2 linked regions of the Xenopus tropicalis genome follow. The main gene of each other region encodes a partner of the protein of the gene in region 2 in a complex. Links are inferred from orthologs where the notes say so. Each region holds a gene or a part of one and is shown on either strand. Other genes may lie near its edges.

Region 1 (5,938 bases), on a different chromosome or scaffold from region 2:
ACTGAAGAAGCTGCTCGGATGAGTAGTGAAACGTCTTCAATGATTACTAAACAAGTCCAGTTGCTTTAAATTTATTTATACTAGATATACCATGACCTGGATGAATGAAAATCTTCATAGACACTCAATAGTAAGAAATCCAAGTCCGGCTTGGGACTCCTCCGGTTACATGGGAGTAGGAGAAACAATAGGTTACCTGAAAGCAGTTCTAATGTGTAGCACTGGCTCCTTCTGAAAGCTCAGACTCAGGCACAATGCACTGAGATGGCGCCTACACACCAATATTACAGCTAAAAAATACATTTGTTGGTTCAAGAATAACATTTAAATGGTAGAGTGAATTATTTGCTATGTAAACAGTGTAATTTAGAAATAAAAAATTACACCATAAAAATCAGGACTGCATAAACAATCTTATATGTAAGACCCTGCTTCATCTAAATAAAACCATTTTCTTCAAAATATATTTGGTTTTAGTAGTATGTGCTATTGGGTAATCCTAAATAGAAAATAGCCATTTTAAGAATTAAGGGCCGCCTCCCGGGATCATAGGAGTCACAGTGCACACAAACAAGCCAAGGCACACATACATGTTAGGCCCCATCAGCCAATGAATGGACACAGTTCTGCCTTTTGCTCCCACACTACTGATTGTTAAGTATTCATTCTGGGGGTACAGTTTTTCTTTAAGGAAGACATCATATATACAAGTTAGCAGCCCCCGGGGAGAAATCCAACCCACCTTCCAAATGGCACAACTGCACTTGGTGCCTTAACTGTTCAGAAAAAGCAGTGGGGTTAGTGGGCACCATCTTGCACTGCTTCAACTTTGCAGCAAACTTGCACCAGGAACATGTGCAGATGAAGCCAAAGGAGCTAGCCTTTCACTGTGCATATTCCCGGGCAGCAATCACTTGGAAGAGAAGCAGCATGAGATGGCACCCCCAGCCAGTGTGAAGGGGTAAGGAAAGTGGGGCAACAATATCAGGTGAGGGGTGGCTCTCCAGGGGTATTAACCTCTATAAATACCTTTAATAATCCTTTAAAGGACAATGAAAGGTTAATATAAATTAAAAGGAAGTCTAAAGGCATTTTTTTAAGTACTTACTGCATATCTAAATTCCCAGATCCCTGCTTGCTTCTCTGAGATATGGTGCTGGCAGCCTACAGCGGTGTGAAGCCTACAGTGACATCACTGAAATCTCTCTCCCCTTCCTGTAGGTGCCAGCGGCAGCCTTCCTATTCTCCGAGTATGTGTGTAACTTGATCCTGTCTCCTGTTCTGAGCTACACATGCCCACCAGCCAATCAGAAGCGGATCTGGCAGAGGGGAGGGGGGGAGGGAATGAAACACATGTGCAGTATGAAGCAAGGAGGGAAAGGAAGGGAGAATACCTTTTTAGAGATGGCTGCCTGTTCTAGAAAATGTGAAGTAAGTGTGACTGAGTAAATATTTGATTAGGTGAGCCAAAAGTGTGGCGTTTTTACTAAACAATAGGAGGACTATTGGGCAGTATGCTTTTTACATTTTGACTTGCATTCTCCTTTAAAACATGGTCCTACCAGTCACACTGCTACAGATCCACAAGCAGGGAAACAGTAACATAATAATTCTCCCCAAAATCTTATCCTGATGGTCCTATTGCTGGGCGCCACAAGGAGAGCCAGCACTACAGCGCCCTCGCCATGCAGCTAGCTCAAGGCACACATTGCATGTAGTGGGGAATAGGACAGGTACCTTCTGACACTGGCAATGGTTTCTCTGTTCTTGAAGCGGCTGAACCTGGCAGTGTAGTTCAGGGTTTTCATGAAGACCTCGGAGAGCTCCTGTTCTTCCTCCGCGCTCTCATTCTGTTGCTTTCTGTGCTCCAGGAGCATGTGCACCTCCGAATTCAGCAGAGTCTCAGCACTCTCAAACTCTACACAATGTAAAGAAGCAAAACCGACATGTAAAGGCCTGAACTGGTATAGGGACGGAATATATTACAGCCAATATTTTAAGAGATTTCCCTGCCATAGGCAATCAATGCATACATTTAAGCAGCTATTTGTTTTTTCTATACAAAACTTTCTCTTTCAAACCTTGCCGCCCCTTCCCCACTCACAAATAATACTGCACAATAAAACAGAGCAACAATAAATATTTATCACCTACATCCCATTCCTGGTGTTGAGTGGCACCCACATTTGACAACTGTAATATCTACCCAAACCTGCCCTATTAGCCCCATCTGACACCTACACCCATTCCTGCAGAAGACAGGGACAGCATGAAGAGTTAAAGGAACAGTAACACCAAAAAATGAAAGAGCTTTAAAGTAATAAAAATATAATGCACTGTTGCCCTGCACTGGTAAAACTGGTGTGTTTGCTACAGAAACACTACTATAATTTATATAATAAGCTGCTGTGTAGCCATGGGGGCAGCCATTCAAGCTGGAAAAAAGGAGAAAAGGCACAGGTTACATAGCAGATAACAGATAAATTCTGTAGAATACAATAGTGTTTTATCTGCTATGTGCCTGTGCCTTTTCTCCTTTGAATGGCTGCCCCCATGGCTACATAGCAGCTTATTTATATAAATTATAGTAGACTTTCTGAAGTAAACACACAACTTTTACCAGTGCAGGGCAGCAGCACATTATATTTTAGTTACTTTTATACACTTTTATTTTTTGGTGTTACTGTTCCTTTAAGAAAGCAGAGTCGGTGGCCGAGTCACTTCCGGTTCCAGGCACAAAGGTGACAGGCATACTGAGTGCCAACCTTTTCCTGGCATCGGGTGCCATGTTCCTCACTAGTGATCAGTTGCAGGCACCAATCAAGACCACTTAGTTGAAACCAGAAGCCATAAGTTATTACAGTCTGTAGAATTACATTTTACATTATGAATACAAAATACAAATGCCTTACGCATTTTGTGTTGCCAAGAGGCACTTAATCAATTGAGCCTATGATTGTGTGTCTTGGCAACACAAAACGCATAAGGCATTTGAATTTGTTTTGTATAAGATTGTAAAGATTTCTGGTTGGGTCCCAACCTGCAAATGTGTTCCTTGTAAACTCCCTCTGCTGAAGGTCTGGGACATGTGCACCTGGACCCACCCGTGCTAGCAGTAAGGATATTTGAAATTCATATGCCCCCCCCCCCCATACTCATATGGGGGGGCAGGGAACAGGTGGCTTTTGGCAGTTGGGGTGGTGGCAGGGGTCATACAAGTTAAACAATTAAAGGGTTTAATTCACCTTTAAAAAAAAGAAGAAAAGCTTATAAGAAGTAGGCTAGAAATGTTTTGTGCTTCTGTACCAGCCCAAGGCAACCACAGCCCTTTAGCAGGGAAGATCTGTGCCCCCAAAGGTGCCCCAGTAGCCAAAGTGCTCGCAAACATCTTTGCACGTACAGTAAAACATGGGATAAAAAGCCCTCTGTCCCAGCTGCTATGATAAACGTATAGCAGCCTATGGGTTACTCAGGGTACTGAATGGCAATGGGCTAATGAGGGGGGAGAGAGAGGACCCAGTGTGATGGCGGTAGCACTTGGGCTTTATCTTTCCGCAGGCGTTTGTGTTCTGCTGCTGCTGGGAGCTCTGTGCATCCCGCCAGTGTGTGCAGGAACATCCGGGGGTGTAAGGGGGGGGCTACACTATAGGCCTGAGCTCTATCACGTACCTTTGGGAAACAGTAATTGTGAAGCATCTTCCTCCGGGTCCCCAGAGTGCGCCTCCGCTCCGCCAGCAGCCATAACCGGGTCTCAGCGTCTCTAGTGACTACTTCCCATTACCCACAAGCCCCTGCTGGTTTACGTCATAGCACCACGTGACTGCGCGGGGCGCCTTTAACTACAGGGTCGTACTGCGGCGGGAATGTTGAATAGCAGTGTGGCTGGGGGAGGCCTCAGCCCGTAACCGATGTGGGAAATGGTAACGTTTCTTAAATACCTGGCAGGCTTATGGGTATCTTCGCACTGTTAGAGCTTCTCGCTGGCAGGCTAAATAGCCAGCAGCACCTGCCCAGGGCCCTGTTCCATACTTTTAAAAGGCATTTCTCTACCTGTGAACAGGTGCGTTAGCGTTATAGTAGTGGCCTTTAACTGGCCTGTAGGAAAGGCTGCATTCAGGGAGCATTATACAGACGCACAGTGGCTACACACGACACATGGGCAGCAGAGACTCCATGGCCTTACTAGTCACAGTTTGGGAAACTCTAGCTTAGCATTTAGGCAAGTGGAGGGGCTGGCGGAGCAGCTATCAGACTTTTAATGCAGGAATACATTGTACTAAATGGGCAGTGTTGGATTGTGCTGCAGCTCAGAGATACGTTTATTCAAGATAAAAGCTGATGGCGTCTGAAATACTTTTCTCTCATTGAAACACATTGTGTGATGTAGATGCAGGGACAAAACCCACCATTTGATCTGATTTGTGTTACAGCTGTGGGGATCAGGTTTGGTATGATCCTACACGATCTTGTGCTGGGTCAGATAATATCTGATCAAAATCTTCTGTGTACTTTAAATTAAAACCATACCCCTGAACAATGTAGGTCTCTATAAATATATATGGCACAATGCAGCTGTAAAACTGTACTTCATTTAGATCAACCATTTTCATACAAAATGTGTAGTAGCATGTTATGCGATGATCGATTGATCGAGCCTAGCCTTCTTTCTGTATGGAAGGAGTCAGGCTAGGCTCGATCAATCGATCGTCGCATAGTGGATGCAGCTCCTTTTGCCCTATCCCTGTAGTTCAATTGAGAGGAAGCCAAGTTTTAGCAGGTATTTTCTATTAAAGCATTTAAAATACTAAGTGGTTTGCAGGATAGGGCAGTTATTGGGGCAGGGTAGAATAGTGTTTTTACTTAAAAACATTTAGTGTTACATTTCCTTTAAGTACTACAGGCTACCCCATGGGATCATACAATTTATGAGTTAGGTCACATCAGCCAATGAATGGACAGAGTTCTATCTTTTACTCCCACACTACTTCCTGTTACAGTTAGAGCTGCATTATTTCTGGTCAGGTGATCTCTGAGGGAGCACCCAGCCCATCACTAAATGGTGGCTCAAAGAAAAAGATGTAGAAGGCCATTATTTCCTCATATGTATTGCAGTTTGGTAGGATTCTTTAATAGGCCATTTAATATGATATAATCTGTTGGTTAACTATTCATTCTAAAGGTATGTTTTCCTTTAAACTTAACTGGTTGCAGCACTTTTTTATACAATAACTGTAACCAAATGCTTTGATTTATCTTTTACATGGCTGATAAGGATTTCTAGCCCACTCTTCCTTGTAGCATTGCTTTCATCCATGCACATTGGTTTTTGTGCATAAACTGCTTATTTTAAGTCAGAACTTAGGCTTATACAAAACTAATTTTGTTTTTTGTCTGCCAGAACCCAGAAAGGATTGGCTCATAGACAAATGACTGGACTTTTTCCTGAAGATATTTCTGAAACAGTGCACAATTCATGGTACCTTTGGTCATCTCACAATTTAATAAACCATTACTGATCCTCAATTCAATCATTTCAATTTATTCTTAGCAGCATGGAACAGAAAACAATCGATTCCTTAGGGAAAGTGACAGTTTGTGCAAGGGGTATTGTTACCCTCTCCATCTCAGATGGTTCATCAGCACGCCGATGTTCCATCGGGAAGAAAAGGAATAAAGGCAGAGCTGGCACTAGGGAAACCTGTAATGTACAAAAACTGTTTTCCCTCTTCTCTGCCACACATGCTTGCACTCTACCAGAGTTGCCTCTCCAAACATGTCTACAGGCATAACCATGGCATACTAGTAACCTGTGGTGTGCGTTTATATAATGTAAGATGGGTAATAGTTACCTAACCCCCAAATCAACAGGCTTGCTCCTTTCGGGTGTCAGTGCCCTAATTATCAGTAATGTATTTAAGGAATGGTATCTTTGTAAACA
Region 2 (5,359 bases):
ACCCCACCAACCCCATGCATAATTTATATTAAAGTCATGAGATGATTATGAATAGAGATTTTGTACAGTGTGGGTATGATTAAAGGAAATATAAACCTGTGTTCTCTCTGATTTTATAGCGTACTTTTTATTTCTAAATTACACGGTTTACATAGCAAATGATTCACTCTACCATTTAAACTTTTATTCTTGAACCAACAAATTTTAAAAAATTTTTGTTGTAATAGTGGTGTGTAGGCAGCCATCTCAGTGCATTGTGCCTGAGTCTGAGCTTTCAGAAGGAGCCACATATTGGAACTGCTTTCCGATAAGCTATTTTTAGCTGAAGCAGTCCCAAGCCAGACTTGGATTCTTTACTACAGAGTGCTATTCTGATATCTACCACTTTTGGCAATGCAGGTGCAGTCAAAATCTGTTTGGGTTTTTAAAAAATGGATTTCAATGCAGGATTCTGCTGAAGGAGCTCTATTAACTGATGCATTTTGAAAAAAAACATGTTTTTCCATGACAGTATTCCTTTAAGAAGAAAATGAGGCTGATGCTACAGGGCATTCTGATGCTAATTGCACTGGTTTCAGTCTGCCATGTAAACTGAATAAATTACTAATCAGCCTTATACTGTGACATAATATATCTGTATGTATGTATACAGTATATTGTGAGTTTGGCCCTAAGCTTAGTAACTGACACCACCTTCTTTGCCAAAAGGCTTTTGTTGCCTTGGGCTGGTACAAAACCCCAAAACATAATGTACAACATTTCTAGCCGGCTTCTTTAACTAAAGCTTTAGTTTTCCATTAAAACAAATAAGGATGTTTCAGATTTCAATATGTTATTTACCTAGATCTTCCCTTGTTTCAAACTTTGAACTCATTGCCACTTGATCATTCCCACGGCCCACGACCTGCAGCATACAGTAAACAACTGCAAGTAAGCCTTCACTATTTACCTCTTATGTATAAAAGATATCATATGCAATATATAACCTTTTCTTACCATAGGACAAAGACAAACACGGGCCAAGGTCATTGTGAATGTTGCCATAGTAACAGGGCGAAAATCCAAAATTTTGGGGTAGATATCCAAAGGAGAGAGGGTCTGGTTGTGTAAAAGTCACATTTTTAAAAAAGAATAGATTACACAGGATTAGAAGAAAAATTTGAAAAATAAAAAAGTAAAAAAAAAAAAAATTCTTACCCCAGACGTGATGATGACAGACTGAAATCTCTGGAATACAGGTTTAATTGCAAGGGAAGAATCTAGACAGCTAAATTAATGATAAAAACAAGAACGGCTAGAGTATACAGTCTTTGTAAGAGAGAAAGCTGAAAAAAAATGAAGGAAAATTGGCTTTGAAAAGGTGGACAGTGGGCACCAAGAGAAACATTGACCAGACTACAGGAGCACTAGAAGTAGGGAAAAAAGAAAGATTGTGTTGGAAAGATCAAAGAAAAAAAAATACTGCGCACCGAATCTGTATTTTGAAAAAAGTTGTATGAATGTGTGTGTGGAAAGAGGAATTAGAGGCAGAAAATCATTCCTACGAGCCAAAAAAAAAGATATTAAGCCAAAAATTGGCAAAAAGTAAGAAATTGGAAAGAATAGCACTGATGGGCATTTCAAGGAGAAAAATATTTAGTAACCTGAAGTGCAGCACAGGATTACTTATAGATGGTGTTCTGTCCTCGAATGGTTCAATAATTATCATAAAACCTGTAAGAAAACAGAGACATGGTTCACAAGGGAAATAAAATGGTTTGTAGGAAGAGAGGTGATGGGAAGGGCAAGCAAGAATACACAGAATCCAACTGTGAGGAAAATACCTTTAGTATATGTGCTGACAAGGGTAGCAAAGTTGGTTATGAGGGTAAGAGGAGAGAGGTCTGTAATGTCAGCTATCTCAAGAGTGCGTGTGAGGGAACGCAACCGTTCTGCACAGAACCTAAAAGGCAAAAGATTTAATATCTGTAAGGGAAAAATTCCCATTTTTTTTTTAATTTTAGTAGATTAGTTTATTATAAATTAACCTATTTCAAGCAACATTTAAACTTGTCTTAGTTAATTTTATGGTTTTTGAATTATTCATTCATCATTCATTCATTCAATGAGTAATTTTAATATTATGTCTGTTTTCATTATTATTTCTATTTCTAACTGTCAGGGATCATGGACGCCAGCAACAAAAACAAAAAACCCATAGTTTAGTTTTATTGTAATTCTTATCTTATTGCATATCATTATTTTCAGGCTCTTTAATAATCATCTCTATCAAATACATAAAAATCAAACATTTTGCAAACCTCTGACTGGTTGTTAGAGTACTGAAAAAAATGGAACAGTCAGATTACAGTTGACAGAGTTTAAAAAAAATACTACAGTACTCGGGTTAAGGTGAACTATCCCTTTTAAGTATTTCTCAATTTGTACAGGAGGTCACTATAAAGAAATGTTACTAGAAGAACAATTTTTGTACTTACCATTAAATCCCTTTCTCTTCACTTACTATGGGGGGCATAGGTACCTTGAGGATAAAAATCCTTCCACACCATCTAAGTGTTTGCCCCAATGTTGCTCTGGGAGTGTTAACCAGTGCAGACCCCTGGAGAGTGGAAACTAGAGATCCCAGTCATTTGGGAGATTATTTTTAGGCCTTAGTGGCATGACCTATAACCATAGTCCTGACTATTTTATTCCTGAGCCACCATGTGTCCTTTCTCCTTTTGAGCACATTAAGAGAAACTAAGGATTAAGGGAGGTAGCAGGGGCAAAGCTCTTAAGAAGTCAATTTTAACCTTTCCGTGTGTACTCTCCTGTATCTTTAGCCCCATAGTGCCTGTGTCCCCCAATCTAAGCAACAAAGGTCATTAGTAAGCCAAAGAAAATAAACAGCCATGTGACTCAGAACATCAGATAATTACAAAGCCCTCTGGAGCTTGAACTTCAGCTGGAGATAACCAGCTGCAAAATGCAGTTTCAATTATTTTCTCAACTAATACAACAGTAACAGAAAGCCCAGCAAATTTCTGTTGTGAAATCTTTCTTAGGCTATGTATAACAAAATATTATATGTGAAAGTTTTGCATCAATTTAAATAAGATATTTCTGAACACATTAGTAATACTTACTAGGCATTATCTTTGTAATCAACAACTCAACCCTTACCGCATTGGCTTCCTTTCGATGCAGACTTTCTCATAAAGGTCACGAAGAAAGGCAGCAGGGCCCTCTTGTGTTACATGGCCTGCACGTAGACGTGATTTGATGTAGCCCACTAATCGTCGTAAAAAACCCAGGAAGTGGAGAGCATTACGGATGCAGCCTGGCACAGCCTCTGCATACAACACGAAAGTCAGTCCTTAGTCATTTCAGTAGCGAAGGAAAAACAGTTTTGGCTGTTCAATAAAGTATTTATACAAAATGTATAACTAATCAACAAACAGCTTAATGTCCAGTGAACAAGGCTGTTGAAAAGGTTTGAACTAAGTTGGGGAGTAACAGGTGCAGCCTCCTGAAGAGCATGATAGGCTTAATGTTTACAGAAAAAAACTAAATTAACAGCACAACTTCTCTTACCTTGCAGAATTTCATCAGGTAAGACAGGGTTGGACAGGTACACATCAGTCTCCCTTGCAACACTGGCCTCCCGCAATCCCTCCACCAGTTGAGCGTACTCCTCCTTCAGCTTCTTTTCATCTGTTTCTTTTATTCTATGAAAACAACAAAAATAAAGCTAAAGAATAACAGTTCTCCCTTACCTTTTCTCTCAATATTCACCTATTACCGGCTCTCCTTCGCATCCACTTTTTTTCATTAATTTTCTGAATGTACCCTTCACATTTATCTCCCATTATTTAACCAGTTTTACTTCTATTAAAACAGTTTTTTTATTATGCAAGAATTTATTTTCTTCTGTCCTCCACAAAACATCCCTTACTTTTCTATTGCCGTGTTGAGAGTTTCAATGTTTGTCTGACAGCGCTCCAGGGTTCTGCGTGTGATGGTGACACTCATAGAGTCAATGCAGACATTATCTAAAGAGTAAGAGGGCAGATTAATTTTGCAGGCGTGTGAAATAGACAGGTAAGTTCAGTTTTATCACTTACCAATATTATGAGCTTCATCAAAGACAACAACAGATTTCTTGGAAAGTTCACGAGAGACAAGGTCAGCTATTTTGGGATCCAGTAAGTAGTGATAGCTGTACACAACCACATTGCACTGTCCGAGCTGCAAAAATACACAACATAATTTAAAACACAAACATTTATTCAGATATACTAGTCAATTATATCTTCTACAAGTTAGGACTGCATGAGAAATATTCAGACACTCACAGCATGTCGGGCAAGGTAATAAGGACACCAGCCTTTTTGTCTACCCAAAGTCCTAAGGTCATCCAGATTGTAGATACCAGGAGGAAGGGGGGTCTCACGTCCAATTGCATCAAATTCCTTAAAAAAAAAAAAAAAAACAGGGTTAGTAGCAGAGTAATCACTTGATTTTCCAAAATAAGCCTTTCTGCCCCATCTTTATTTTGCTAAACATGATGTATGCTCACCTGGGGAAGGCAGATAGCTATGAAAGAGTTATGTTTTTTTTTACTTTTCAAGTGCTTTTTACAATCTATGCTCTGCTTTGGTCTAAACTTTGTGTAAAGTTTCCTCCTGCAGGCAACTTTGCCTGACTTGGGAAAACTGAAGTGATTTGTACTGTTGACGATGGAAATGCATTTTGGAGAGATTAGTCGCCCATGGTAGGAGAGATCTATTGCGGTCGACTAAATTTCTGCATGGGACAAAATGGCTGCTGCTTTCTTAAATAAACCATACCTGTTTACTCAGGTATGGTAAAGCAGCCTGCAAAATAAATATAAAGCTCTAGCTTGCACTTTTGTGACTAATCTATTGGCAATAAAATGCCTGAGTAGCTTTCCTTCTTCTTTAATAAGGTGATAAGGAAATCAGGCTCTGTACTAAGCAAAATTGGAGACTTTGGAGGAAGTGTTAGAGAGGAGAATGCTGTTGAACTATAGAAAATGTTTCTTTATCCCTACATGCTACACAACACTTAAAAGTTAAAATTGCAGTTAAGCTCACAGACAGTGTAGAATGTCTTCAACTTTTACCACAAGTACATGGAACTTGTAAGACCTTACACATTTATCCATGAATGTTATAAGTAAATATTTTGGCAAGTATTAAAATTTTTGGTTTGGAATTTCTTTTAATTGCCTCATACCTCAAAAAAACGACAGGTTTGTACAGTTGGGTCTCTCTGCTTCTGGGAACGGACAAAGGAAGCTGTCAAACTGTGACAACGACCATCTATCTCTTTGCCAAATCGCAAAGCACTGACCTGA

What was found.
Region 1: ercc2 (region 2) and polr2d share a complex: the UniProt entries of both Homo sapiens proteins name them as parts of the TBP-based Pol II pre-initiation complex. The link is inferred for Xenopus tropicalis from reciprocal best matches to the Homo sapiens genes ERCC2 and POLR2D.

The regions. Positions count from the first base shown.
Region 1 is NC_030681.2:125,370,873-125,376,810, forward strand, and holds the start of polr2d (DNA-directed RNA polymerase II subunit RPB4), read right to left. Parts: upstream 3,756-5,938; 5' UTR 3,743-3,755; coding exon 3,670-3,742; intron 1,919-3,669; coding exon 1,738-1,918; intron 1-1,737. UniProt on the Homo sapiens protein: Core component of RNA polymerase II (Pol II), a DNA-dependent RNA polymerase which synthesizes mRNA precursors and many functional non-coding RNAs using the four ribonucleoside triphosphates as substrates.
Region 2 is NC_030684.2:70,778,444-70,783,802, reverse strand, and holds part of ercc2 (TFIIH basal transcription factor complex helicase XPD subunit), read right to left. Parts: intron 5,356-5,359; coding exon 5,239-5,355; intron 4,452-5,238; coding exon 4,335-4,451; intron 4,228-4,334; coding exon 4,104-4,227; intron 4,032-4,103; coding exon 3,935-4,031; intron 3,708-3,934; coding exon 3,574-3,707; intron 3,332-3,573; coding exon 3,163-3,331; intron 1,943-3,162; coding exon 1,824-1,942; intron 1,714-1,823; coding exon 1,644-1,713; intron 1,268-1,643; coding exon 1,198-1,267; intron 1,099-1,197; coding exon 997-1,098; intron 905-996; coding exon 841-904; intron 1-840. UniProt on the Homo sapiens protein: ATP-dependent 5'-3' DNA helicase. Component of the general transcription and DNA repair factor IIH (TFIIH) core complex, not absolutely essential for minimal transcription in vitro.